Linked DNA regions of Rattus norvegicus. The protein of the gene in region 1 interacts with the protein of each later gene in a biochemical or structural test. Links are inferred from orthologs where the notes say so. Each region holds a gene or a part of one and is shown on either strand. Other genes may lie near its edges. The genes, in order: Prpf40a and Mecp2.

The links.
Region 2: the proteins of Prpf40a (region 1) and Mecp2 form a complex in vitro, tested with the Homo sapiens proteins (2 studies listed by BioGRID, with this or other methods). The link is inferred for Rattus norvegicus from reciprocal best matches to the Homo sapiens genes PRPF40A and MECP2.

The regions. Positions count from the first base shown.
Region 1 is NC_086021.1:58,090,647-58,105,728, forward strand, and holds the start of Prpf40a (pre-mRNA-processing factor 40 homolog A), read right to left. Parts: upstream 7,864-15,082; coding exon 7,699-7,863; intron 6,772-7,698; exon of another isoform or gene 6,771-6,771; coding exon 6,639-6,770; intron 5,209-6,638; exon of another isoform or gene 5,177-5,208; coding exon of another isoform or gene 5,129-5,176; intron 1-5,128. Other genes in the region: Arl6ip6 (ADP-ribosylation factor-like protein 6-interacting protein 6), read left to right, coding at 8,827-9,217, 10,381-10,434.
Region 2 is NC_086039.1:156,988,447-157,003,317, forward strand, and holds the start of Mecp2 (methyl-CpG-binding protein 2), read right to left. Parts: upstream 7,457-14,871; 5' UTR 7,448-7,456; coding exon of another isoform or gene 7,338-7,447; intron 7,260-7,337; exon of another isoform or gene 2,379-7,259; intron 1,890-2,378; 5' UTR 1,792-1,889; coding exon 1,766-1,791; intron 1-1,765. UniProt on the Homo sapiens protein: Chromosomal protein that binds to methylated DNA. It can bind specifically to a single methyl-CpG pair. It is not influenced by sequences flanking the methyl-CpGs.

The DNA.
Region 1 (15,082 bases):
AATGAATACCGCTGGTTTTTTCTTTTTCTTTTTTTTTATTGCAAGGTTTTAAATTCAACTAGAGAAACACAATATTGTGTTGTATAGAGAAACATAATTGTGGCTCTTAAGTTTTACAAAATTAAGGACTTTACATTTTATACTCAAATTGTCATCTAAAGCCTTCTTTAGGACACAAGACCATTATAATCTCCCTTTCATGTTCTTCAAGCTAGATTCAATATTACATCTAAGCCTTTATACTTTGGTAATAAAGGTAAGCTATAACATTTAATACCGCATGTTTCACTTAACAGCAGACACACTCACTGATAAATATAACATATGATTTTATTATATGCAATGTGTACATACAGAAACCTAGATGATACAAGTCAGCTAATCACTGCATGTACCCTTTTCATTTATCAAGAGGCACAGTGAACACTAAGATGTATGAGGTGACTGTTCATGTAACATGTAACTATTTTATTACAATGAGTTTGTTTTTGTAAAGTACATCCCAAACCAATATAGAGGATAGCATAGTAAGCACATAAATCAGAAATAACGTGTAAGTCCAAAAATCAGCAATAAATTCTATTGGTTACCATTACCAACTCAAGTATTATGCACGATCCCATGTCTGTGGGATAATCTTCAACATGACTGGTAAACTAGTACATTATCAGAAACACAGGAGCAGTATTCTGTGCTATGATCGCAAGGCTGCCATGTCATCGGGCCACTAGTCTAATAAGTACTATAGGATACTGTAATACGAAAAATTTGTACATCTAAATATAGAAAGTATATAGTAAAAAAATAAATCATAAAAATTTTCAGCTCCACTGTACTCTTGTGAGACTACTATCATACATGTAGCTGTTAAGTTTACTGAAACATTACCGAAGTCTCATTTACAGGAGCAGCAACCTTCCCAGACTACACAATGAAATATGTGATTCTAAACCCATGATGTCAAACGGAACGTAAGGTTCTGAAGATCAGAACCTAATGAATATGATTCTGTGTATACTGTAATAAGAATTTTCACTAGAAAAGAAAGTCAAAAGTTTAAGATAAACCATACAAAAAATTTATTTAACTGAAAAATTAGAGCCTTAGGTACAGCAAACTGTAGTTCAAGCTAGGACAGTCCTCACCTGCTAGCATTACTGTCCTTCAATATACATGCCTAACAGCACCAAACCCATTTTAAGCATGCTAAGAAATAACAGATTTAAGCCCACTAAAGCAAATGTACTATCTTTATTAACTGCTAATTAGAACTGAACATAGCATAAAGTAAATGAAAGGTAACAGATGGTCAGTTGACTAGACTTGTATCTACAATATTTCCAAGTGCCCAGGAATATTCTGATACTTTCAGTAATTCCAGATGATGAGAGTCTTTTAAAAGTCTTTTAGTATAAAGCCATGAATTTATACTAAGAACATTAATAAGAGACATAGCTGTCTAGCAAAAAATGAAGGTATAAGACAACCAAATGAAAAACTATGAACAACTTCAACAAGAGAACATAATCTACCCATTCTTACTTATAACCCTTCAAAACAGGTCCATTTTTCTAGGTAAACAATGAAAAAAAATGTGTGGTGGGGAGACCTTCTAGTACACATCTGTTATGAGAAAGTTTACTAAGTGTTCGTAGTACTTCTCATGATTGAAATGCTACTAGAAAGGTGGTGGGCAAGACAGATAAACACCTAGCCGCATTTTCAAAACTTCCTGCAAGACTTCCCAATAACTTAGTATTTCATGCATCTTAAAGAGAGAGATAGTCTACTCTATCAAATTGAGATAAAACTTCTTGGATCATTACGAACATTAAATGTACTGGATCTCAAGTTTTGAGTGAGTTCATATTTAAATGCTAAATAGTTGCTGAAGTAAGCACGTCTACAGTCTTACTAGTAAAACCTATCAAAACTGAACCACATCGTAAAAGTGAAGACATTTGAGAGCAGTAAATGCGAAGAAATTACTAGAATTGGGAATTTCAAGTAACAAAAATAACATAAAAATTATGTCATTATTACAGTCATTTTAATGACTGGCCAATATTAAAAATAAAATAAATTATCTCATTAGTAAGATAAATTTAAACACCAATGGACTGATTATCAATGGACTGATTATCTCTGCAAAACCTAGTACAAATCACTTTTATATTATAAGGACCTATATGGCAAGATTACATCTTCAATGATATTACACAGCTAGAAATGCATGTCCCTACCATTAAGTGTTAGTGTTTATATTTCTTTACCAAAACAAAACCCAAAAATACCAATTTACTTCATTTTATCTATTTTTTGTTAAATGAGAAAGCCATAATGAATCTCATACTAAAAGCAGGGACAATGTAAAGTCACAAGTAACCTCTAGATACACATGTATCAGTTACTTTCTAGTTTACATTGTAGGAAATAGTATCTACTCATTTCATTCATTCAACAAGTATTACTGAGCACCCAAAATGCACCAAGAAATGTGCTCAGCAATGACAATTCTTAACAAGAACAACTTAGTTCTTGCTTTCTAAGACTTTATAACTTGTTAGGAAAATAGCAAATCAGAAAACATTAAGGGAAGGAAAATGTCACTAAGTGCCAAAATAAAACTGTAAAAATTCCAAGCATATCAAGATGTTAAATAATTTAGAGAGGAGGTAAACAGTGTTCAAAATTATTTGAGAAAATAATTGAGGCAAGCAAAGATGTCATGGTGATAGTAATCCTGAAAGCAAGAATACAAGGACAGCAGTATAAGTTTAATGTCAAGAGCTAATATAACCATTTAAGGCACCATGAAAAGATTAGTATGAACTCGTATTAGGGAGTATAAAAACATGCATTACTGAATGTTGCTTTGACGTGTATTACAGAGATCTTTCAAATTTAAAGCTGTGGAATTTAGACACTAGGTCACAGATATACAATATTTGAGATTCTTAAGCAAAGAAATACATTTCCTTTTTAATTTTTGAGAGGAAATAGAAATAGCCTTGAAGCAAGAAAACCAGCTCAAAAACAGTTGAATATCCAAGGCCTAGGAATAGGACAACCTGGGCCATTACAGATTTGTGAGTTTGTCTTCTCAGTATTAAAATAAGAAAACCAAATTCATTTGTAAGACATAACTACTCACTAATGTATCATCAAAAAAAAAAAAGGAAGAAAAAAAAAGAAAAAAAGAAAAAAAACAAAAACAAAAAAAAACAACAAAAAACCAAAAATCACCCCCCAAAACCTGAAATTTCCTAGAAAGAATTTGATTTCCAAATCAATCCAGTCAGAAAATTGAACCACAAAGTGTTACCTCTGGAACGGAGCTCAAGACTTCATTTCACTCTTTTTATAAATTGGAAGAAAGTTAACACTCAAGAACAGAGCTAGCTATTAAGCACTCTGTTGGGCAAAGGCAAAATCAGCTGATTAAAGATAACAAAATTTAATGTTCTTCATTAAAAAAAGCTCATACAAAAAGAAAAGGACGAAAATGAAGGAGGAGAAGAAAATACTTTAAAGACAAAACATGCTTTATTCTGAATGGATATGAAGAAAGACAGCTTCAAACACAACCATACTTAGAAATTTTTACTGGAAAGTTTTGAATAGTGTCACTATACAAAAAAATTTCAGGAAATACTTAAGAAAAAAAAAAGACCCACTCCAAAAACAATTACTTATATACTATTTAAAACTCATTTATTTGATTTATTTGTAAGGTCCCTTTCAGCAGTATACGCTTTTAATTCTATAGCTGACAAGTATAACTTTCCCCAAATGTTATGTGCATCAGTAGGTAATAATTTAATCTATATTAAAGATAAGTCTGAAAGAAATTATGGTTAAGTTATGCTTGCTATTTCTAGGTACTTACTAATAGATTCAGCCTGAACTGGAAAAAAAAATGGCTCTAGTTTCAACTTTGCAAACCCCCTTTTAAGCCTAGATCATTACTGCCTAGTTTGCATACTGTTTTATAAACAAGCTTTAAATGTCTTGTCATATTCAGTAACATTTCAAAGACCACAATCATCCAATTTTCTTAAGGGAACTTAAATGTGGGCAGTGTAGCAGATAACTGACAGTAGGCTGACCTGTTCCAGGATCCTGTGTATCAAAATTCAGACTTTCACCCTTGCATAAAAAAGTCCATAATATATGCATATAACCAATGGACATCTTGTATAGTCTAAATCATATCTAGATTACTTATGCATAACATGATATACATGCTCTCTCTATAACTATATAGCTGTTTCATGTGTTAAATGTTAATATGACAAGGAAAAAATCTGCTTGTGGTCTGGAAATTGTAATCTATTTGTCATGAACTATAAGCCCATGTTAGATGAAACAAATAGACATAGAATCTTGCAGTTATAAAGGATCAACTATTTTTGAAGATTATATAGCCCTTGGTCCCAAAAATCTGAAAATGTTTTGAAAAACTTTGGATGATAAAACTATACATTCACTGCCATGAGTGGTATAGGCACCCTGCTACTTGTCAATTATCTTCTCATTATAATTACTATTAATAATCCTGAGTATATGCAAACAGAAGAAATGATGCAGGAAAAACAATCAGTTCATCTTTAAGAGAAAGTTCAGAGCTTTAAGAAAGATTCCTAGAGTCCTCAAGGATTCAGCTTAGCTTTACCATGAGCTAGAACCCATGCTGTTAGCTAGGAAGGGGCACTGGATAATGATCTAATTTTGAGAGAACAACAGCAACTTTCTTGAGACTTTCAGATCTGGTCTCCTAAAGTATTCATTCATTATCCTCAGAGGAAGATGCTAAACATTTAAATAATTGGGTGTATTTAATGGTGTATAGAACGTACTGGACTAAAAAAAAAAATGTAGAAAACCATGAAGCAAAATTCAGAATATCTGAAGTGTGTAAGTAGCAAGTAAACTTATTAGGAAAGTGGTCACTGGCACAGCCAAAGAGAAGGGGCCATAAAACAAACTGTGACCAGTGTATGCCAATTACTTAAAAAAAAAAAAAAATCTGCACTATACTAAAAATGACTAGCTGGCATCTCAGGTCTGCTAGTGCAACAGCACCATTACAGCAAGGGTAAGCAGGTCAACCCCTTGCAAAACTTACCTTGACTGGCCCAATGGAAACAGAAGGCCCCAGAAAAGAAAGAAGCATCTGGCAGTAGCAAATTGTTTTATTTTATCTTTCTGTGGAAAGAAACTAATTTTAAATAAGAACCAGAGCATTTAAAGAATAAATATTTTTTAAGCTCATTATCTAGTTAGAGCAGCTCTATCAAGAAAACAAGAAGGGTTTTGTGCTGCTTAGAGATGGAAAGATACAGAAGAAGAATCAAGAGTTGTCTCTGCATCTCCTAGGGAGCTTTAAAGTATTGTTATTCTAGAGTAACAGAGCAAAGAATCTTTTATATAAAGAACTCCTGCAGGCAGAATCTTTTCAGTCTGGTGCCTTTGAATAAAACTTTTTATACAAAATTAAGGGCTATATTCCAAATATAAAAGAAAACCACTTAACATTGAACCATTCTACTCTTAGAAGTAAAATAAAAAGAAAAATACAACAAGCTCCTGTTTCCGCTGCAATTTCACCAATAACTTTAGCCTTCATTGCTTAAACCATTATCAAACTCCATAGTACTCATTAGCAAAAGAAAATATACAACTGACTTTCTAAAATATCTGCTAACCAAAATATTTCATGACTTATCAAGATACTCAATTGGAATAACCCAGTCCACCCAAGACTCTGTGTATTATAGCACCTAGCATAGGACACAACTGTTCATGGAACTGAAGCTCTTGACTTTCTTGAACATTTCTCTAGAAATCCTACTACCAGTGTTACGAAGTCATCTCAAAACCTTTTAATCCAATCACTTCTACAAAATGTCCATTTACAATCTGTGCTAGAGATGCAAGGGACAATGCACAAGTAGGAGTGTAGAAGCAATAATCATTTCAAAAATTAAGTAGAAAACGAGTATATACCTATTTGGCATGGTCCAGGGAAGAATTGGTAATAGAGTAGAAAATCCCCACACTCCCAACAAGAGGAAGATACTACAAGAATAAAATTCATTCTAAATGAAAACCCCAAGTAACTATTATTTTTCTGATGCTACGCTTTACACATTCACCATGACTGTCTTCTGATATTTACTTCTAGACCATTAATAATTATAATGCCTGAAAGAAGTCACTAAGTTAAATAGATTAGCTCTATACTGTCACTTTAGATTGTTTGCTTAATTCTCAAGATAGGGTTTCTCTGTCTTGGAACTCATTCTATAGACCCAGGCTAGTCTTGACCTCAGAGATCCACCTGCCACTGCCTCCCAAGTGCTGGGATCAAAGGCGAGCGCCACCACCGCCGGCTTAAAAGATTATTTTAAATCTTAACTTTGTTGAGGAAATCAGTTAATTTTTTAAAATACAGTCTTACTCCATTCAAAATTTGGTTACAGACATGATCACCATAATGCTTGTCTTGTTTGACCACATTATATGGATATAAACTAACCTTTAAACATCTGCAAGTACAACACTGACTCACACCTTAAAATCTTGAGACAAGCAAACAAAAATAAGCAAGCCAAAGTAAAAAAACATCTTCTTACTTGTCCCATTGGAGGCCCTCCCATAGGAGGCATCATCTGTGGCATCATTCCGTGAGGTACAGGAGGCATGTTTGCTCGCTGACCCATAGGGTGCATGCCCATTGGTGCATAATGCATGCCAGGATGCCCCATCTGAAAAACAATGAAAAGTAAGAGGTAAGACACAATCAATGTTTCTTTAAACTGTCATTTCAAAAACAACGACTAAAACCCATCAACTGAACTGAAAGTCAACTAAGTCAATGTGATTAAACTACAGGATTAGCATCTAGTAACGTTAATCTAAAATATACTACAGTGGTTATTATGAGGAACCTCAAAATTTACAAAATATGGGGAAGTTAATCCCAATAGCGGATTAAAATCCCTCTCCGATGACTTAGCCAACTGTCAAATGACTGGCCAGACTTGGTGTCTATGTATTGAATTCTAACTTAAAATTATTACGGTGAACCCAACCTTGTCACCTTTATACATATACTCTGTTTATACTACTTAAAATTACATTAATTTGGACGAGGTCTGATCATAAAACAGAGTGGGTACCCAAGAGTACTTCGTTAAGGAACGAATGTCTTAATATAGTTAAAATATCAAAGACTGTCATTCTGTCCCAGACACTAAATGCAAATAACAAATTCATCCATTTTAGTGAGCTAAAAATATAGTACTTCCATTGTTCCTGGCTTGAAACTAAGTATCCGCAGCCAATTCTCCCAACCAAATCCCCCAACCGGTGCAAATCACCACTACTCCGGAGGAAAATAAACTGCAGCAGCCTCTCCCTACCATAAAGCAAGCCTGGGGCTTTCAGACGTGCAGTCCGCCCGGGGCCCAGCACCTCCCTTCCTAAGGCATCTACTTAGGCCAAGACCACTGGCAAGTCCAAGGTCCCACATATTTCTTTGTGCGTTCCCGCCCTCTATTTCTCTCCCTTGGGACGTAGCCCACCATCTGGAGCTCTCTTCCTGGTATACTCGTCTCCTTTTGGAGAAAGCTTCCTGTTTCTCTGACTCGGTTTTTCATTGTGCCGCTTTCCCCTACCCCGCCGATCCCTTACCGAGGGCCGTCTCCTCAGGAAGCCGTCAGCAGAGACCCAAGAACTGGAGCACAGGTTTGAGCCGGACAATCTCCGCTCCCCGTCCCCGGGACCCCGCGAGGGAGGTTGGCTCTCCATTTCACTCACCATGAGGCCTCCACGCTCGGCTCCAGTCCCCGGCCTCATCGTCGGGCTCAGACTGCTCCGTCGGCGGCCACTGCCGCTACACATACCAACAAGAAGCGATCTGAGTGGCTGGCGCCCGCTGGGGCCAAAGGGTAAAGGCTGCCCTGAGCTGCGGGGCGGGATCAGCGGGGCCAATAAACTGACAGGCTTCCCTACTGTCCAATCAGAGCGCGATACCGACACGCAGCTCTGCGGCGATTCGCCCCCAGCCTCACTCGGCGTCGCCTGCATGGAGAGGGGGGAGGGGGATGGAGGAAGTTTCTGCGTCGAGTGCTCTGCCGGGGAAACTCTACCAACTTCCCCCAGGAAAGGGGACACGGCGGGGACCCAGATTCCCGGGTTTGGGCCACCGCACCCCGCCGGGGGTGTGGCAATGGCGTCGTGCCACCTTCGCCACCCCCCCGCCCTAGTTACGTTCGCCCCACAAACCTGAGGCCACCAGGGGTGGGGTGGGGGCGGGGTAAGCGGCACCCGGCGTTAGCGGCCTAGTGCGCGCGTGCGCGCGGTTGGCGTGGGGAGGGGTCGTGCCCGGGGTTCGCCGGTGGGGGGTTTGGGGGGTACGGGGCTTCAGAGCTGCGCGCGCCCCAGTGAAGGATGGAGGCGCGTACTGTAGTTGGCGGGGAGTTGTAGAGGCGGAGATCACTCGCCCGAGGGAGGAAGCGATTGGCGGTTAGGAAGCCGCGGAGCTGAGCGGGAAGCTGCGGTTATGGGGCTTGGACGGTGCGTGCCAATAGGACCGGAAAGGGCCGAATAAATTAAGCAGTGCTTCTCCGCGGGCCACGGGCGCGCGCTCACACGGCACATCCGCTAGCGGAGCTGCCTGGAAACCCGCTGGTGCACCCCCCCACCGCTCTGCGCTCGGTGGTTGGGTCCGCCGACGGCCGCCGCTGATTGGCTGTTGTCGGGGAGGGGCGTGGCGGTGGAGGACGCTCGACCTTCGCGGGTCTCTCAGTCTTTCCCGCCATGTCCTTTGTGGAGAGTTGGAGGTCTGTAGGCCCGCGTAGGCGCCGTCAGGTTACCCCAGGCCCTGTCACTCGGTCTGTGTATTCCGACTACACTCAAGGGAATAGCTGGAGTGAGGACGGAGACGAGGGATGCGACCAAGTGGCCCGCGACTTGCGAGCAGAGTTCTCGGCCAGGGCGTCGTCGGAGTCCAAGAGGGCTCCGCTACTCCCACGGATCGGGGACGGGTCGCCGGTCCTGCCGGATAAGCGCAACGGCATCTTCCCGGCGACTGCGGCCAAGCGAACCCAGGCTCGGCGGTGGCCCATCCAAGCCCTTTCCATTCTTTGTTCGCTGCTGTTCGCCGTCCTCCTTGCTTTTCTCCTCGCCATCGCCTACCTGATCGTTAAAGGTACTGAGATCCAGGCCTTGAAAGGCTGTCCAGCATAAAGTCGAGCCAGTACATCACACGCCCCCATTCACACTTTCCTCCCAAAGCTTTCCCTCGAAACTGTTACGGTACTTTGTCGTCCCCCCCCCCCCCCTTTGTCTTCTCTCCTTAGATGGGCGACCCTGCTCCATAATGAGTGTAGAAAAGATCCACACTCTTAAATGCTGTAAAGGCATTGAATCCTTGAGTTGAAACATAAGTACGGCTTATGTTAATCAGAGCCCCTTTTAAAAGGATCAAAAAGTGTATGTAACAAAAATAGGCTGTTGATGTTCTAAGGCTGAGGTTTAGAGACGTGCTGTGTATACGCTTTTCTCTGATCCTAGATACATTGAAGGACAAGGATTTCTCCCCCTCATCCCGGGTTTCTACTTTTATAGGCAAATGGTTTTTCTTTGTAACCAAGTAGAGTTATTTCAGGACAGTCTGTTCTATATACTACTTAGTCAGAAATTGGCATATGTTGTCCAAGTAGGAATGTTCTGAAAGACGCTCTTCCCTTTACCCCATTGGGATTTGTTGTATGGTTTAGTATTTTTTGAAGTGGAAAGAGATTTGAATTTAGTTAGTGTTGCTTTTGCCAGTTCTTGAGAAACTGAAACATGAAAGCAGTATCTTGTATTAAAAGGATTCAACGCTTTGTGATTCTCCTGTTACCTTTACGAATTAAACTTTAATCTCTCATTTTCCCCACCCCCTAATGGGCTGCAGGTGGCCCTTGAACAGTTTTTTTTTTTTCTCTCACTTCAACCACGATAGATTTGTTGTGCACTTAGTTTATTTTTCTTTTACAATAAAGTTATATGTCCATAAGTAGAAGTTCATTTCAGAGGACATTGGTATTTTGGAGAATTGAGTAAAGAACTGAATTCAAATTCTGTTATGCCCTTAAGTTTCTTTGTACAAATTGTCTTCAACACACCTAGGAGACTATTCTCATGTTTATGGAAATCGGCTCTTGTAGAGGTAGTTGCTTGAAGGTAACTGAGGTGGTAAATCAGAAATTTAACTTAGCTCTGACTTCAGGGTACTTTTGACAACTGAACAGTATCTTTGCTGACTTTGGATATTCATGTCAGGAAGGAACACTACTCTTCTACCTAAACCTCTCTTTGTGTTTACAGAATTGCATACAGAAAACTCGAAAAATGAAGATGTCGTAGATACGGGGCTGTTAGGTATGAACTGATAATTTTATTAATCCGGTCACTTATTTTGTTTTTCCAAGTTATGTTTAATGTTATATAGGCTTTGGGATAAATATTTTATATATACCACGTATAGCTGATTCAGTAGTGTTTTTTATTTATGTGTTTGTGGTAAATGTTACTATATTTCCTTTATAGATATACATTTAGATATTTTTCATAATTTTTGTAATTTTAAATTGAGCCGCTAATGCAATTGTACAGTATTCAGTATAACTGCATGACTTTGGTCCACTAAATTCTTAGTTTCTGATTATGTTTTGGAAAAAACTCCCTATACTGCTGCTTCAGGAATTTAGAACTAGAAACTTGCTCACAAATTTAGACAACATAAATAGTATCTGAACCAGACTTCAGAAGACTTTATTGTTCACATTTTAGTAAGCAGTTTGTCTTTAGATAAAAATTTTTAAATAAGAATTATTTCCCATTAGCATCTAGGTGAATCAACTCTGTTCCTATTGTCCAAAATGTCATACATTATGTAGTTTTTAGCTTCCTACTGAAGAGGGTTATTGATGTTATCTGTCCCTTTTATAAACAAATTGAAAGACTTTAGTACTTTACCTATTTGATATATTTTACTATTAAAATTCAGGAATGAGGAAAACAGCATTTTTACAGCAGAAGTAACTGCCAAGACAAAACCCTGTATGAGCCTCTGATCTAGTGGAGAGTAAATTCAGTCACTATCACTTAATAGGTTTAACTCATTCAGATTCATGGGAATTAATTTTAAAGTAAGCATAGTTTGGCTTATAGAAAGTATATTTATTATATAGCATTTGAATGGGTAATCTTTTCCAACAGAGAAGCATTCTTTAAAAAGACAACTGTCTCAGGGTTGAGTGTGTTGTACTTCAGTGACAGACACTTTGCTTAGCGTACACGTGTTCTGATCTTCAGCACCACCCAGATAAACAAACACGCAAATGCTTGTCTCAGAGAAGCACTGCAAAGGTTATTGAGTTATTGAGGCAGTTGTGATAATGCTTGTCCTTCTGTTTCTGAGTTTGAATTCTCATCTGTTTGGGAATAAATGCACAGCCGGCTTTACAAAGTATGATAAATTGATAGGAGACCTCTGAGTAAACTTTTCCTTAACAAAGACAGATAAAAGGAGAGGCCAGTTCTAGTAAGGGTCCCTGAAATCAATGATAAATCTATTAAGATACCAAGAAAAAAATGATTCATAATCTTACCACAAGAAAATGACTTAGGAATTACATCCTTATTCTCTTTACAATTGATACAAAAGTTTCAAATGAGGATATGAGGAAACAGCCTAAGTTTTGAATAAACATGTTGAAATTATCAGCTAGGTTATAAAAAAAGTATTTTGTACTGTCTTACGGTTTCTATTGTTGTGAAGAGACACCATGATCATGACATTTTTTATAGGAAAACACTGAATTGGGAGCAGGCTTACAGTTCAGAGGTTTAGTCCATTATCATCAGGGTGGGAAGAATGACAGCACACAGGAATATATGGTGCTGGAAAGGTAACTGAGAGTGCTCCATCTGGATCAGGAGGCAGCAGGGACAGAGTGAGGCACTGGGTCTGGCTATACTATCTGAGACCTCAAAACCCGCTCTCAGAAACATACTTCCTCCAAAAAGGCCACACCTCCTAATAGTGCCACTCCCTGTGAACCCATGGTGGGGGGCATTTTCTTTCAAAACACCACATATACCCTTGTTGTGTGAGAATGATTTTATCATTTTATATTTACTAGACATTTTAGTTTATTACTTGTCTTTTGGCTTAACTATTGCTATTAGGTCTGTTATTTTGGTAGTAGGTTGATTTTCTAGAAAAAAATAACAAGAGCATAGTAAGTGCTCAACCTTGAGAAGAGTTCTTTTTCTATAGACTTAAAAATTTGGGGTTGGGGATTTAGCTCAGTGGTAGAGCGCTTGCCTAGCAAGCACAAGGCCCTGGGTTCGGTCCCCAGCTCCAAAAAAAAAAAAAAAAAAAAAAATTTTGACCCCTGCGGATATTTTTAAATACTGATCTAGGGCTTGAATAAGTCTCAGTAAAGTAAGATGTAGCCGCAGGAACAACATTCCTCATTTGACGTGTGTACTTATTAATCTGGTGACTTGCTTGTATTTTTTTTTAAGCTACTTTTAAATTATGATTCAGGCCAAGGTTAGGTCCAAGCATATTTGCTTTTATGAATAGTTCTGATGCAGATACTCAAAGGACCGTGGGTTGAAAACTACCTTTAAATAATCGAACTAGGTGCTGTGTGAACTAGGTGCTGTGTCTGTCCCCAACACACACACAAACTTTTCTTTCTTTCTTAACTCAACTTTTTTCGAAAATGTATTCAAGAGTGATTAAAGGTCCTGGGAAGTAAGGGCTGGAACGGTTCAGTGGTTGAAAAGCATTTGCTGCTCTTGCATAGGACCTGGATTTGATTCCCAGCCCCCACATAGTGGCTCACAACCATCCTTAACTCAGTTCCAGGCTGCCCACCACGCTTTTCCTGACCTCCAAGGGCACCAGGCATGCACATGGTTCATAATGTGTGTTCACAAAAACAAATAGTAAAGTAAAATAAACCAGAAAAAATTCTGAAAGGTAAATTGTAACAGAGTAGTAAACAGTGTAAGTCTTAATACTTGTTAAGACATCTTCTTCTAAAGTTGCTAAGGTACTGCAGTGGGCTGAGTCATCTTTGTTTCCATGAAAAAAATTTCTTCATGGGTAGTCTGTTTTTTGTTTCCAGTTGTGGTTTTTTTGTTTGTTTGTTTTATTTTATTTTGTTCTGTTTTGGTTTTGTTTTTTAAAAAAGGTTTGTTATGAAGCAATAGAAGATCATTTGGGAGTTATTTTTGGATAGGGTTTCTCCGTGTAGCCCTGGCCTTCCTGGAATGCTCTTTGTAGCAAATCATTCCTTTTCCAGGGACGTTAATAAAACTATACATTTCACTCACTCCTCTTTTAAAATTGTTCTGAGACCAGATTGATTGTGCTAAACATACAATGTCGAATTACTTAATTTTGCCTCTTGGCTTTTGTATTTGTTGTAGTTTTCCAAGTTTTGTCACATTTGACAACTCAATGTTGCAGTATTCCCTGCAGTCTTTAATATTTCTGAGAATGTAGCATGATAACCTTTCATTTTAGGCAAACTTAGAAAATACTAAGAGAAATACATGAAATTGCCTTTAGCAGAAAATACTTAAAATACAGAAAATACTTAATCTAAAATATGCAGAGCTACGTGTATCACAGTTCGTACCATATAAACATTATATTGTGAAATTTGATGGAAAGCTTTTAGTGACTTATGAAGCTTCTAGACTAGGTCTGACTTATGTTCCTTAGACTCAGTTACTTGGGAAGATGAAGATGATAGTTTGCTTGAGCTTACACTCTCTGGACCAGCCTGCATAACATAGGAAGACTCCTAGTTCAGAAGAAAACAAATCAACTGACCAATGTATATGCATACACACTCACTTATAAACACAGCTTCTAAACATGATTGTGCCTATCTCTCATTAACATTTCTTAAATTCTATATGTGGTAAAGACCTGATTTCATTTATTTTTCAATAACAAGTTATTCTTGTTTTTGAGCTGCTCAAATAATTTGTGTACCTGACAAGTTTCTAGGACTTCACTCATGTTGAGGGAAGAAATAATTGACAAATACTGAGTTCAATCTTAAGTGAAATCATTGAAAATTTAAACTTTCTTTTTCAGAGGACTAATGATGTTCCTACCATCATGACTTTATCCTATCAAATTTTAGAAATATGATTAAAAGTTTCATAGAGAAGTTCTGGAACTAACCCATAGTGAAGTAGATGTTAAGAAAAGCTAAATTCTTCCTTAAGTTCAAAAATTATAAACTCGGAAGTTGGCTTAAGGTATGATTTTTCTAATTAAACCCACACACAAACTATTAAGGAAAAACACATTTATTTGTACTTGTGCTGGGTAACGCAAATATTTCACCTAAACGTCCACTGTTGTAGTACCACCTTTTAAAGATTGTATGACCTCATTAAAAAATAAGTAGAGAAAAGAGAAAACAAAAGTCAGCAGACTGGAAGGATGTAACAAAAATGACAGTTTATCGGGGTTTTGCTTATAGATTGTTTAATATTTGTACCAAATGTAACAGGAATGTCAGAAAGAACAATCCTTTCAAAAGAGCAAAACTTCAGCCAGGCTTGGTAATGCTGATTGGGAGGCAGAGACAGGAGAATCAGAAGTTCAAGGTTTTCCTTAGCTATGTAACAGTATGAAGGCCAACTTGGTCTCTAAGACCCTTTCTTAAAAAGTAGTTGTAAGAGGAAGAAAAAGCACAATTTTAAATTGACTTAAATTAATATGTTCCACTGTATACAATTTTTTAAAAGTTTAACATACCGAGTATGCCAAAAATGTTAATACCTTTATTTAACATTTTATGTCCATCAATATGTTAGTTCAAAAAAATGCATGAAGCTGTTTGCTCTGGTGTATTGAAAAAGCAGGTGGAAAGAATATAGAGTCAACAGAGTTGGTCATTAGTAAGTTGTTTAAAGTTGAGTGATACTTATGAATTCATCATACTTCTCTCTCAACTTTTTAATGCAAAAAGTTTATAGAAATACA
Region 2 (14,871 bases), on another chromosome or scaffold:
TTTTTGTTTGTTTGTTTTTGTTTGTTTGTTTGTTTTGAAACAGGATCTTGCTATGTAGCCCTGGCTAGCCTGGAACTCACTATGTAAACTAAGCTGGCCTCAAACTCACAAAGATCCATCTACCTATCTCTGTGTCCCAAGTGCTGGTATTAAAGTTGTATACTACCATACTTGGCATTTTTTTTAAAGAAGAAAAGATATATACTTTTCTAGAAAAGATAAGTTCTATTGTTTGAACATTTCAGTTCAGTTGTTTTTCTCATTTGTAAGTAGTAAGAAATTTTTCTAAAAAAAAAATCCACCCTTTCTTTGGAGAAACATGTATAGTGTCATTACTGCCTTTTTCCTAAAGGCATTCATAAACTGAGAAAAAAGATTTTAAAAAACACAAACCACAGGGGTTGGGGATTTAGCTCAGTGGTAGAGCGCTTGCCTAGCAACCGCAAGGCCCTGGGTTCGGTCCCCAGCTCCGGGAAAAACAAAAAAAACAAAAAAAACACAAACCACTCCCAGCCAAACATCTACCAGAAGAAACCCATCATTGCTTCTATTACATTTGGTAGGATTCCCAAGACAAAACACTAGCCATATAAGTCCCACCAGCATAAATATGTGAAGCACAAAGAACATCAGCCAGGTTTAGAGTATACCTCATCATAGTAAGGAGAATGACAACTGAGGTCACAGGATCAGGAACAGAATCAAATCCAGAACCTGGAGGCAGTGCTATGATCTTCATTTCCTTCTATTCTCCTTCACCCAAAACTCACTCTCCCAGATAAATCAGCCATTTGGTGCATGTATATGTGTGTGTATGTCTGTACATATTAGCTTTATGAGGTGTAATAAATCTAGAGATACAGAAAATTCTAATAGGGGGAATCTCAAATAGAATCACAATGCAGCATGTGTGAACAGTCAACATTTTCTCTTGTAGAAAATAGGAAAATTTAATTGGATTTATCTGTTTTATCACACAAATACAGGTGACAAAATATCAAATGTGGAATAATTACTAATTAAAAAAAAAGCTTGAGAGCTTTGAGCCTGATAAAGGATAAGAAATAACAGAACAATTCACTCTTGCAAAACTAAAGTCCACACAATGGTACTATAGTAGTTCACACTGCAGCAGATCTGTCAGGTTTAAAAATGACTTGACTTTCCAGCTTTTCTAAAAGCACTTATCCTGCTCTAGAATCCCAAGAGCTGCACATCTGTCTGGGTGCACTCCATCAGAGTTCAGCAAGCAAGTACCATTAACCACAGGCTCCATTGTGCTATGACACTTTCAGAAGGGTGCTCTTCTAGGGGACCACATACCAGTTCCTATATCTGAAAATGCAGTACACCACTGTTTGCTAACATTGACCTGCAAGTCATTTAGCCCAAACCAAATCAAAGAAAGCATCATGCTGAAGACCACTAGGTAAGAGCAGCAGCACAGGTGAAGAGCTCAGGACAAGCACTCTCCTGCTTCAAGGTGAACTGAAGCTGCAGATCACCAGTTCCAGCTCTAATCTGACACCCACCCCCCAGATCACATTGTGGCTACCAAGGAACTCTACCCAAACTGAACTGAACTTTCAGGGCTCAGGGAAGTGACTTTTTTTTATTATATGGCACAGTTTGGCCCAGTTATATTTTTTGTCTTTGGGGTACTTTCATACTGTCCAAGAATAGTATATTTTTTTCCTTTTTTTTTTTAAAAACAGATGGCCAAACCAGGACATATACTAAAAAAAAAAAAAGGAAGGTTACTTACCTGAGCCCTAACATCCCAGCTACCATGGAATCCTGTTGGAGCTGGTCTACAGAAGCAAGGTGTATTCTGGGGAGTCACATGTCACATCAAAGCAGGAACTGGTGAGTCTGTATTTTTATGGAGCCTAAAACAAAGAAAATTGTAAGTTGAAAGTCCCCATTGAGCTGCACCTTTTTCCCAAGGCTTTTTGGAACATTCTGAAGATAAATACAGACAAAGTACTATGTTACTTCCCAGCTAAGCTAATTAGAAGCAAAGAATAAACTGCAAATTACTGCCACATAACATAAAATGCTAAAATAAAAACAAGATTTATGGTTGTCAGAACTGACACTATCAGAGGTCTTTACACCTCTGGGGAACACTTTGAAACTACAATGCATACCACAAGTGGTGATTTCTGGTTAAGTATTTCTTCCACCACATTATATAGGAAAAGTCAATGATAGAACGTGTTCAAGAGTGTTCAAGAGTATATTCAACATAAAAACAAACAAAAAAGCCCAAATCCAACCCCCAACACCCCCCAGAACAAACAAAAAAGAAAAAAACAAAAACCAACAAAAAAAAAACCCAAAACCAAAACAAACAAACAAAAACACCCACACATCACCTCAAAAAGAACACAACCAAATCCAGAGGCAAAAGTCTCTCTTCTGCTTCCAGCAGTCAAAGCTGCAAGGAACTGCTCTAACATCACACAAAGGGGTTTTCACCTTGAGATAAAAGACAAAAAGCACCAGGAGATCCAAAGCCATCATCCAAACTATATAAATCCTTCTCTAACCAATTACTGTAAGCCTCTCAAATCAGTAAATCTCAATGTCTGTAACACATTGAGTTGATGGGTTCTTTTGATTTTTTTGTTATTGTTTTTCTTTAATTTTTTTGAGATTTTATTTATTTTTATGTGTATGAGCATTTGTATGAATGTATGTCTGCGCACTACCCACATGTAGTGCCTGTGGAGGCCAGAAGATGGATCCTCGGACTAGAATTAGACCATTGTGAGCTTCTACAAAGGTAATAGAAAATAAGCCAGTGCTCCTAACTGCTGAGCCATCTCTCTCTATATATATCTATTGTTGCTTTTTGAGGCAGTTTTGTTATGTAGTTCAAGCTGTCCTCAAACTCAGATCTTCCTGCTTCAGTCTCTCTTGTTTTTGCACATATGTTCAATAAGGCTGTTGCCATCAAGCTAATCATCATTTCCTTGTTAAAGCCTAAACTGCCTAAATATGTAATTTCAGACACTTGGCTCTGCCAGTAATAACACTTTTATCTTTACACTAAAAGAAAGGCTTATACTGTACAACTTAAGACTATTATAGTCACTCATGGGGTCGAATCCAGAGGAAGGGCAACAGCAACCAAGTCCCTTGATGATGCTTACAGTTATCTTTTAAGGCTCAGCAAAACCTCTTCACTCCCATAATTTCTTAAATCATAGAATTAAGTTATGGAACAGTTTGAAATGCCAAAATTAATTAGTTTTGGATAGCAACCTAATAAAAATCAAACCAGTGCCTTGTTTAAGAAGGCCTACAAAGTCACAACTTCTCAAGACCACAGTTTTACCTACCTGCAATTTTATTTTTTGTAAGGATGGAACTGAAATCAGTGCCTTGCACATGTGAAGCAAATGACTATGCCCTATATCTTCAGCCCCTATTTCATTGGAAGCTGGACTAATCTTTATTCTAAGTTCTTAAAAAAAAGTTTGAGATTTCATGAGAAAAAAGCTAAAAATAAATACAGTTAGGTGAAAATCCAACAAAAATATTCATACTAAAATACCCCCAGCTCTTAGGAAAAGATAAGCACACTTGTACTGAGACTTGGCCAGTAACGAGAGTCCAGACATCCACAGTACCAGCAGAGCTAGCAAAGTGTCCAGGAGAAGGCCATACTTTGCCGTTTAACATGGTGGTGGGCATGTCTGCCTTCTCTTGAGTCTTGCCACCATTCAGACATTCTATACACTATAGTTTCCATGAAAGTGGTTGAAGTCAAACTTTCAAAGGAAAATGTTCCTTGGAAGAGAAAGGCAGAAGAGATTGTAGGAAGCAGAAGAGCACACACACCTTCTGTCTAAGAAAGCCCCAGAAACAGGGAGCCACTGGATTCACACTGGTCCTCCCTAAAATAATGAGCAGGTGCAGTTCTCTAATTGGACAACAGTGATTTTAAAAGGCTGTGATGGGTGCTGAGGACAATGTCTTTCCCTTGGAAGAACAATAGTGTTCTCTACCCAACTAAAAAGGTTGATTCTGTCAGTCACATGGCTTGATCTGCACAGATGTTACTAGAACAGGTGATTAAAATGTATTCTGCCACACTCCAGTCAAGGCTGTGCTTAAAACACTGGCTACTAACAATGTCATTGTCCATGATTCTATGTTTCCCAGGTCTAGTTCGCTAGTGGTAAACTGCTTAGCCAATTAAAAGATTCCCCAATGAGTGACCTGTTTTTGTGGGACTCCTATTAGAGGGAGTGGGGAACTCTTTCTGACACTTTTGGCTACTTTTGGAATCCCTTTCCTTCTAGTGGGCCACCTTAGTATGAGGGAAGTGTCTAGTCTTATTGAAACTTAATATGCCATGTTTGGTTGATATCCCTAGGAGGCCTGCCCTTTTCTGAAGGGAAAAGGAGTGGATGGGGAAGGGGAAGGGAGGAGGGTCTGGGAGGAGAGGAGTGGAAAATGCAGTTGGGATGAAATATATGAAAATAATTAATAAAAAAAGATTCTCACTGATTTCACCTTTAGAAAGATTTCACCCTTAGAAAAGACAACAGGTTCCAGGACACATCATTTACCATGCAAACAAACTAACAAGTTTACCACTGCTGCTCTTTATTCTAGGTTAAAAAAAACCTTCTCAGGAGTGCATGGGTGGAGTTGGGGCACTAGAACATAGAATTTAGCAGGTTTTTCCTTCAAACTCCATAGCTTTGTCTCCCTGTCCCCAATAGATTAAGCTTCATAGAAGCAGATCAGGCAGAGGGAACAACTCTATCTGGAAAATACAAACACAGATTGCAAAAACATATAATAAGCTTCCAAAACCTTTGTGGTCTACGTGTGGTCTTTGTGGTCATGTGTACCTCAGGATTCAAACAGCACAAAAAACAGAAGGCAGCTAAGGATATGAGGTGATTGCCTGGCAAGCATGAAGTCCTGGGTCTAACCACCAGTATAACAATAACAACAAAAAGGAAAAAAATAATCCTTGGAGTACAACGTCTACATGATGCTTTCTTCTTCAGTGAAAGAGGAACCTGTTACTGTAGCTTTAAAGCACTCAAGACACATTCTCATGGAAAGGAAATAGGCATGTGTGATAGATCAATACTAGCAAGAAAGTCATATAGTTTCTTCAAATTCTTAGGACACACTAACTTCAGATGTCAACAGGAACTTTGAAAGGAAACTGTTTTAAAAGTTGCTTACAATGTTTAAAGAGCTATGAGTAAAACAAATAGCTAACCCGAGGGGCACCTGAGGAAGCAAACATGTTACAGAATATGAAAACAAAGTAAAGGTTTCGACTCTGAGCTCAGGCTCAAATGTATAAACTTTGAAATCTTTTGGGTGTGTTTGTGAAAGTGAATGCACTCTGTCTGTCGGTCAGCAATTTGTTTAATGAATGGGTTATGTGTATTAACTCATTTTAGATCATTTGTACTTTTAAAGTGTGTGGATTCTTTAAGGTTCTGACATACCCAGGTAAGAAGATAAAAGCAAGTGTTTTCTAGGCTTTCTGAGTATGACTTGAATTTGAAGTTAAAAACAAACACACAAAAAACCAAAGCCTATAAATATATTTTTCCAAATCCTTGGTGGAAATTCCCCAAGGACCTAACAGTCCAAACTTTTTTTTATAGAGATCCAACATATTTCAAAGAACCTAAGACATCAGCTTAAATCATGTTATTAATTGAAATTGCTGAGATTCACATAAATCCAACCACAAACCCAAAATACAATAATAATTTACCTATTAGTGAAATTTTACTACCCAGGCCCAAATTGGTTTCATTTACGTAGTATATCAAAAACATCTAGAACTTGTGAGAGTCCTACAACATCTCAGTCACTTAGCACTATAAATTAGTTCATTCTGTTTCATGATCGCCATCAACAACCCTATATTTGAGATTATTGTCTCACTGTTTGGGGTAATGATTCCAAACACTGAAGACGACATGCAAATGACTCAACAGAGCCCATTTGTGTTCCTGGAAAATTAACCAGGAGTACATATCTCCCTGACTATGAGTCAGGAATATCAATTTTATGGTGGAGCCCATTTTTGTTTTGATGAACCTTTACCGGAACATACAAAGAACTAGCACAGAGGTATTCCCTAGCAAGCTTTGCCCTGCGGGGGTCCATACTTAACAATGTCACACCAGGGTCTTTCTTGTGAAACCGAATCTTTTTAGACTCCACCACGATTGATTAAACCTTTAGTGCAAAACCTCAGAAACATTGCTACTGACACATAAAAGTCACCTGTGTTTTATTTTAAGTGATTCAGTCATAACCGAACTAAAAAGAGAATGAACTTTCAGAGATAATTGACAGAGGAGTCATAGCGATGTTTGGTACTGGAGATCCTGAGCACTCCAGGACCAAGAGAGCCCATTACATACAAAGTCCCATTCCACTTATGTAACTGGATGATCGCTGGCGAAGGGAGGGGAGGGAGGGTGGGAAGACGCTCATATTCCGAAGCCACAGTACAGCATCCCCAAAGAACCAGAGCACCCTGCGGGCATGGTCTCACGGAAGAGCTTCGAGTGCTGAGGAACGCACAGTCCCTAGCCCACGGTTCCTGATGAGAACTACAACCATCTCTTTATGATGAGTTGTGGGACCTAGGAACATAGTGTCTAGTCCTTTTTGTGGGTGGACACTAACCCCCAACTTGTTCCTGCCAAGTGGGGAATGGAGCTGATGGACTGACTCGCTTGCAGTGGGGGCAAAAAGTCATGGAATGGGAGAGGAGAAGGAGGGAGCAAAATCCAGAGATGGGGGTAAGAGCTCAGGAGCCCTTGTGGCGCACTCTCCCAACGGGAGATGGACTGCGCACGCGCGCCAGTATGTGGGGGGGGGGAGCGAGTAACGGGAGTGGGGGCGCGCGAGGGAGAGGGGACAGCGCGATCCAGGGAGAGGCCGGGACCGCGGGCGCGCGGCAGTGCCGCGGCCCAAAACCCCAAGAAGGGCAGGAGCGCGCACAGCCCCAACTGGCGAAACCCAGACGACAAGGGCGCTTGCAAAGGCTGGGGCCCAAGATGCGCACAGATGGGGCGGGCAGCGGGCAGCGGGAGGGCGTCATTCGAAGGTGGCTCGAGGGAGATCGCGCTGAGGACCGTCGCTCGCAATTGCGGGAGACAAGTGGAGAAAGCCACCACCGGCGACAGAGAGAGGGGGAGGGTAGAGAGGAGGGACGCCATCCGCCAGCCGTGTCGCCCGACCCCGCGGGCCCCTCCCGCGCCACGTCCCGCCCCTACCCCCCGCCCCCCCCAGCAAGGGTCCCCGCCCGCAGCCTTGGCGGTCCCACTCACAGTCTCTCCTCCTCGCCTCCTCCTCCTCCGCTCGGCGCGGCGGCGGCGGCGGCGGCGGCGGCGGCAGCGGCGGCGGCGGCGGCGGCAGCGGCGGCAGCGGCGGCGGCCATTTTCCGGACGGCTTTTACCACAGCCCTCTCTCCGAGAGGAGGGAGCGCGCGCGCAACCGATGCCGGGACCCCGCACGGCCGACGTCGCGCCCCGCCCTCCCGGCCAGCCTGGGCGCTGCTGCACCTGCGCGCCCGCGCCCTAACGGCAGCGCTTTGTCGAGTTTACCCTCTATTGGCTGTGGAGCTCAGGCTGGGGCGGGGCCTTAGCGGTGACACCCTCAATTGGCAGGAGTTCCTGTCTGTTTAGGCAGGGAAAAGGGGCGGACCCCATTCAGCTGCGGATTGGTGGAGGTCTACTGTCACTTCGAGAAAAGAGGCGGCTAGGGCACAGAGGGGCTGGTTTTGTGGGCAGCGTTTGAATGTTGAGGATTAACGGGGCCCTTGTGGACTCTGGCGCTTAAGGAAGTCTAGGCTCTTGTCGCCTATTAGAACCGCCCTGCCCTCTATCCGCAAGCGCATCGGGCACGCTGTGATAAGCATTTAACTGCACCAGCATTTTCTTAGTATCATTTTCTGTAGAAGCAGCAAAGTTGCCTGTTGAGGAGCCTGATGTTGTTCCAAGCCAAGGGACTTGTTTTAAAGGCTCTACCAATTGTATTATTCCACCTAATTAGCACTCTTAAGGCAGTAAAATCAACATATCAAACAAATCCTGGTCTTTGCAGACCTTTATAGTGGGCAGATGTCAGATGCCAAGCTAATAAGAGATTTGTCTGTCATTGTTGAATCAGAAGGTTTGATTGAAGTAAGTATAAAAGAGAGTGAGCCCAGAGGAAGCAGCCCTGCTTTGAAGACCTGAGATCCAGCAATCTGGATTTCAGAGTATGAGGGAAGGTTTAGGTAATAAGGTGTCAGGATTGTCAAAGCAACCTTACCCTTATACTAGTCAGCATTCGATGCTCCTTGTGCTAATCCTGTGCTCAATAGGAGACTTTTGGATTCAAATTTGGCTCCCCTCTCCATTCATTTAGTTGCTAGGCACTGTTTTAGTACTGAACAAGGAGACAGACTAGAATCCTGGTAAGAAAGAATCATACTAAACATACAAGTAAGTAGAATTTAAAATTTTTCATAAAGACTTTGAAATAGGGCAAGAGCGAAAGGAGTGCTATTTTGATAACCTCTAGCACTTGCCCATGTCATCCCCCAATATGGGTAACTGGGGAAAACATTCTAGGCAAGTTTAAACACTCTAAGGAAGGACTATGCATGTCTTGCCAAGGAGGCCAGTGTGACTGGAGAGAGACTTAGGTCACCAAAAGAACTGGGAGATTATTTTGAGATGAGAAGCCCTTGATACTTGAGTCACTAGCTGGCATCATAAAACCTATGTTGCCAGTGAAGAATGGAGAACAGGCCAGTCCAGAGGTCCTGACAACAGTTGGGGTGGGGAGAAGAAGAAGGGGGATGATGATGATAATGATGATGATGGCTTTAACTAGGGCAATAGCAGATGAATTCTGATAAGTTGTGATATTTAAGATTTATGTTCTAAATTGAGCCAAAAGTATTGGATATCAGATGGAAAGAAAGAAAAAAATAAGGATTTTGGCTGAGTTTGGGGCAGGATCACCTAAGTGAATGTTTTTTACTACAATGGGGAAATCTAGAGGATTCTCAGCACCCATATGGCCACTCAAAACCATTTGTAATTTTAGCCTCAGGGGATCTTGTGCCCTCTTCCGACCACAGTGAGTACTAAGCACACATGTAGTACACACAAATACACACAGACACATAAAATATACTCATACACATAAAATACTAAGATAGATAAATGTAAAAAAAACAAGTGGATATAATCTCAGAGTGATTGTGTGTGTGTGTGTGTGTGTGTGTGTGTGTGTGTGTGTGTGTGTGTGTTGGGGTGTGAGCATGCAGGTATTTGCAGATGCAGAAGATAGGATCAGAACTTGGGTCCTCTGCAAGAGCAACATGCCATCTCTCCAGCCTCCTCTCCTCCAGGCTGAGTTTTAGTCCACAAATACAAGGATGGTTTAAAATTAGAAATCAATTACAATTTTAAGAACAGATCATGCGAGTATCAATACATGAAGGAAAAAGCATTTGATAAAATTCAATACCTACTTATGATTTTAAAAACAACTTAAAGAACTATAACTAGAACGTTCTTAATCTGATCAAAGATGTTTATAAAACTGTAGATGAAACATGATATTTAATTGAGAACAAAGGAAGAAATAGAGCAAGATCTACAATGCAATATAATTTTCAAAAATAAAATATGTCATTTTTCTACTATAATCTCATAATTGGCCCTTCACTATGAGGAGAAATGGTCATTAGTCTATGTTTAGTATTAGGGTGCAGGCATGTAAACCTAGCTAGTAATAAAATGTTGTCAATATAATGGGAGGGTTGAAGTCTAGAGATAAACTTATTAAGAAATATAAAAATCTGGCTCTCTGAGACAGCTCAATAGATAAGAGCACTTGCTGCCAAGCCTAGTAACCTGAGTGACACGTAGCATACACATCATGGAGGAAGAGAACTTACTCTCAAGAAAGTTGTTCTATGACCTCCACACTCACACTGTAACATCTGAATGCTCGTGTACATATATACATAATAATAAATACATGTAATAAAAATATTTAAAGAAATGTAAAAACATATATAAAAATTTACTGAAATAGTTTAAAAGATGTGGAAAAAAAGTCAACTACCACATTCCTGGAATGGAAGAGTCAACATAAAAATGTAAGTGCTTCATTAACAAATCTGGAGATTGCCCTGATCAAAATGTAAGAGTTTTTTTTTGTTGTTGTTCTTTTTTTTGGAGTTGGGGAGTGAACCCAGGGCCTTGCGCTTCCTAGGTAAGCGCTCTACCACTGAGCTAAATCCCCAGCCCCAAAATGTAAGAGTTTTGAACCTAGCATGGTTGCTTATACCTTTAATCCCAGCATTTGGGAGACTGAGGCAGGCAGATCTCTGAATTTCAGGACATCCAGGGCTACACAGAGAAATCCTGTCTTGAAAAACTAAAATTAAAGTCCCAAAGTTTTATGGGTTATAATAAGGCAATTCTGCATTGAGAAGAGTAATGTACAAAACAAGAAAACAAGACATTTTTCAAATTTTGTGAAGAGAATTTTAACTTCTTTAAATTAGATAAAAGAGATGTAAATGACATAATTTATGTTTGCACTGAAAAATAGAAAAAAAACATACAGCACCAAAGTATTTTAGTAGTAGAATTAAAAGGAACCATTTTTAAAATGGGACTGTAGCATTTAAAAATAACATCCCTTTAAAATGGGGAGATAGAGTCCGAGGATAAAACATAATGGTAGAGCACTTGCCTACCACTTATAAAGCCCTGGATTCAATCCCCAACATAAAAAATGGGGCAATTACAACCAGGAAAACATACTATATGTATATACCTCAACAAACTGTAGAATTTTAGCAATATGGAAAATAGAACACACACATCCACTCTGTCTGCCTAAAAATCTGTGGGAGTGATGGAGAAAAACATATTTTAAAAGAATAAATCCAAAATGACAAATAAAAATGAAAAAGATGACACAGTCCAAAATACTGAAGAGTACATCCCATATACACAAGTATAAACACAATTTGGCTTGTAGATACTTATGTAAAATCTCCTAAAACCATTCATCCATTGTACACACCAATAAACTGCCCCAGAAGCTGGAAGTGTTACTCAGTGGTAAAATGCTTGCCTAGCATGTACAAAGCCCTGGGATAATCCCTAGCATCACATAAACCTGCTGTGGTGGTGCACATTTATAAAGCCAGTACCCAGGAAGTAACAGCAAGAAGATCAGAACTTCAAAGTCATCCTTGGCTACATTATGTGTTCAAGGCCACCCTAGGCTACATGAGACACTGTCTCATAAACAAAACAAAACTTAATCCCTTTCATACAGGAAGACACTCATTATTCATAAAATAAAACAAATACATATTTAAAGGTCAAACAGAAAGAGACAATAAATTATGCCTGCATGTACATGTTCTCAAAGCTTCCCTTCTTTACTCTTAAAACTCCTGAAAAAACAAAAGAAAGTGTCAGGGCTGGCAAGATGAGTCAGTGGGTAAAGGCCCCTGTTGCTAAGCCTGGTGACCTAAGTCCAAGTCCCAGTATCTAAAACTTCCATGAATTGTCCTGTGACCTTCATTCACATGTATGCTGTGGCTCATTCTCTCCTTCTCCTCAATCCAGATAGATAGATAGATAGATAGATAGATAGATAGATAGATAGATAGATAGATAGATAAAATTTAGCCGTGAAAGAAAAGTGCCAACATTTAAAAGGAAATAAAGAAACTTTAGTAAAAGTTAACTCTGTTGGCAAAGTGCTTGGTGGTGTAAGCATGAGAACCTGATTTCAATCTTCAGAACATTAAAACAAAATCTAAGCATGAAGCTATGTGTTGTAATTTTTTTCCAGTACTGGGGAGGCAACAAGCAGAATCCTGAGGCTAGCTGGCTAGCATGCCTAGCCTGTTTGGTGAGTTTCATGCAAGTGATAGGGCCAATCTCTTTAAATCATCTTTAAATACGATGGATGTAAAGGGCATGAAGTCTCTGTGCTCACAGACAAGGACTACAGAAACCAGGGATGTGAAGGCTGCAGGCAGGCTCGTGTCATCAACAGAAGAAATGTATATGCCTCTTTTCCACCCAGAACGCTGGATAGTGGATGTTGTTAACAGCCTGGTGGTCACTGCCACCTGTGGTGGATCAGGTCACACCTGAACACCCTGAATTTTAAGTTTATCTCAGACTCCCCCTCCCCCTCCCCCCTCTGGCAGAGCTGCATCATTAGTTTCCTTTGTCAGTCAGTAAAACCCTGTGAGACATGGGGCACTGTTTCACCAGACAAAATCTGGGAAGGTTGAGCAGATACAGAAACCCTGGTAAATTCTCGTACAGGAGAATGGGAGGGCTTTTAATCTACTACTCGTACCCGGTTCCTGTCCTGGGACATGTGACCGTGACCCTCCCCACCCCACCCCCAAATATCTTGACCACTAGTCCCATAGCACAGAACACCTGAGTTCTCCATGCTAATGAGGTATCTAGATGGACTGGCCCCTTCACCAACATTCCTTTCTGCAAAACGTATTCAATCTCTGGTCCACCCTGAGTGAATCACCTGAACCCATTTTCCACGATGAATAAGCAACAAACAGTTTGGACAAGCAAACTGATTGTCTCATCAAGGAACCGCTGTGAGGGGAAGTCCTTTTTTTCTTTTTTCTTTTTTCTCTTTTTTTTCCCGGAGCTGGGGATCGAACTCAGGGCCTTGCACTTGCTAGGCAAGCGCCCTACCACTGAGCTAAATCCCCAACCCCTGTGAGGGGAAGTCTTAGTCATGCCCAGCCCCTGCCTTCTAAGTCTTCTGCAAAAGGCCCCTCTGACCTTTGGACAAGAACACTCGCCCCTGAGCTAAGCCAGAGTTGCCCCTCCCCCTGTCCCTGTCCCTAGGCTCAAAACTGGCTTGTGCAGCCCCCCCTTTCCAAACTCTACCTTATTTATTCCCAGTGGGGACTAGAAGACTGGGAGTTGGGGAATCCCTCTCTCATGAGGTTCAGCCATCCCCCCCGCCCCGTCTTTCTCACCCGGGCTGGGGCCCCCATCTTAGGCTACATTCCCAGACCTTTGCCTCTCCTTGAGTCTGCCTGAGCAGTGTTCACACACCCCAGCTGCGAGGTGGAATGCAGACCCCCAGAACCCTCCCTTCCTTAGGGAAGGGATGTCAAAACGTGCTTTATGGCCTAGTGACCTCCACACTATCTGTAGGACTGAAACCACACCAGATCCTAGGCCCCCAAGTTGCAGAATGCATCCTCAAGGTAGGTGTCACCTATACTTTGCTTTCCGTGTAGTTAGGCTCCAATTAGTCCAATTGGGCTTCCATGTAGTCATTCTCCACACGGAACTGAGATTAACTCTTTCTACGGAACTTTTCTTTCCCACAATTGCATGGTACTTAAATATGTCTAAAATAAACTTCCCAGGGGTGAGAGTCTAGTAGCTCGAACCAACACAGGCTAACTAAGACATACTGGATCGGATTTCCTTCTTGTCCCTTGCAGTTCATTTCCATGCCTACAGTAGAGCCTGGAGGGACCCTTATAATGGTTCCTGAGGTCCAACACTGGAGGTTGTCTCCTGTCTTCACATGCACAGGTAAACATGCACCTATATCCACATGCACACACACACACACACACACACACACACACACACACACACACAGAGAGAGAGAGAGAGAGAGACAGAGAGACAGAGAGACAGAGAGACAGAGAGACAGAGAGACAGAGAGACAGAGACAGAGAATGCAGAGAAGAATTACTTGAAAAATGAGGTAGCTGGGAAAGTATAGCTGAAAATATTTGACCAGGCTGCTGCAGAATAGATGGGGGACAGTTTGTAAGTTTAACAGCAAAAAGTCTGAATCTGAAGGCATATTATAGAAAAACAAAAAATGGTAGACACACAAGGACTCAGTGAAAGCCTCAGTGCAGGATGATGGTTTCAGTTGGAACATCCCTCTCCCACCCAGCAGACAGCTGAGCTGGAGCTGGCTCGGGCCTACTGAGAAAACACCTGACTGTTCTTTGAAGAAACTGAACAATATCTGCAGAGAGCCAAGGCTTCCAGCATAGATGCTGACAACTCCTGAGTAATTTCTTCCTCATTTTAGCCAGTAGAGCGTATGATCTCCACTCCTCCAGCCCCTGCCTTCACAGAGGTCATATGGATCAGGAAAACAGATCTCGACAGAACATTAAATCTACAGTAGCTATTGAAATCTTCTTTATTAATTATAAATAATTACTAAGTATCATAAAACATTGAGAGAAAGAGCTCGGTGTGGTGTCTTATACCTGTAATTCTAGCACTGGACAGGCTGTAAGGCAGGAGAATCACAAGTTTCAGGTCAGCCAGAGGTATATTGTTAGAACATGTCTTCTTAAACATGAAAAAGAAATTAGAAGAGAGCCTCCAATACTCACAAAAATTCAAGGCCTTATCTAAAATGTACAAAACACCAGCTTTTTTTTTTTATTATTAACTTGAGTATTTCTTATATACATTTCGAGTGTTATTCCCTTTCCCAGTTTCCGGGCAAACATCCCCCTCCCCCCTCCACTTTCTTATCGGTGTTCCCCTCCCCACCCTCCCCCCATTGTCCCCCTCCCCCCAACAGTCTAGTTCACTGGGGGTTCAGTCTTAGCAGGACCCAGGGCTTCCCCTTCCACTGGTGCTCTTACTAGGATATTCATTGCTACCTATGAGGTCAGAGTCCAGGGTCAGTCCATGTATAGTCTTTAGGTAGTGGCTTAGTCCCTGGAAGCTCTGGTTGCTTGGCATTGTTGTACATATGGGGTCTCGAGCCCCTTCAAGCTCTTCCAGTTCTTTC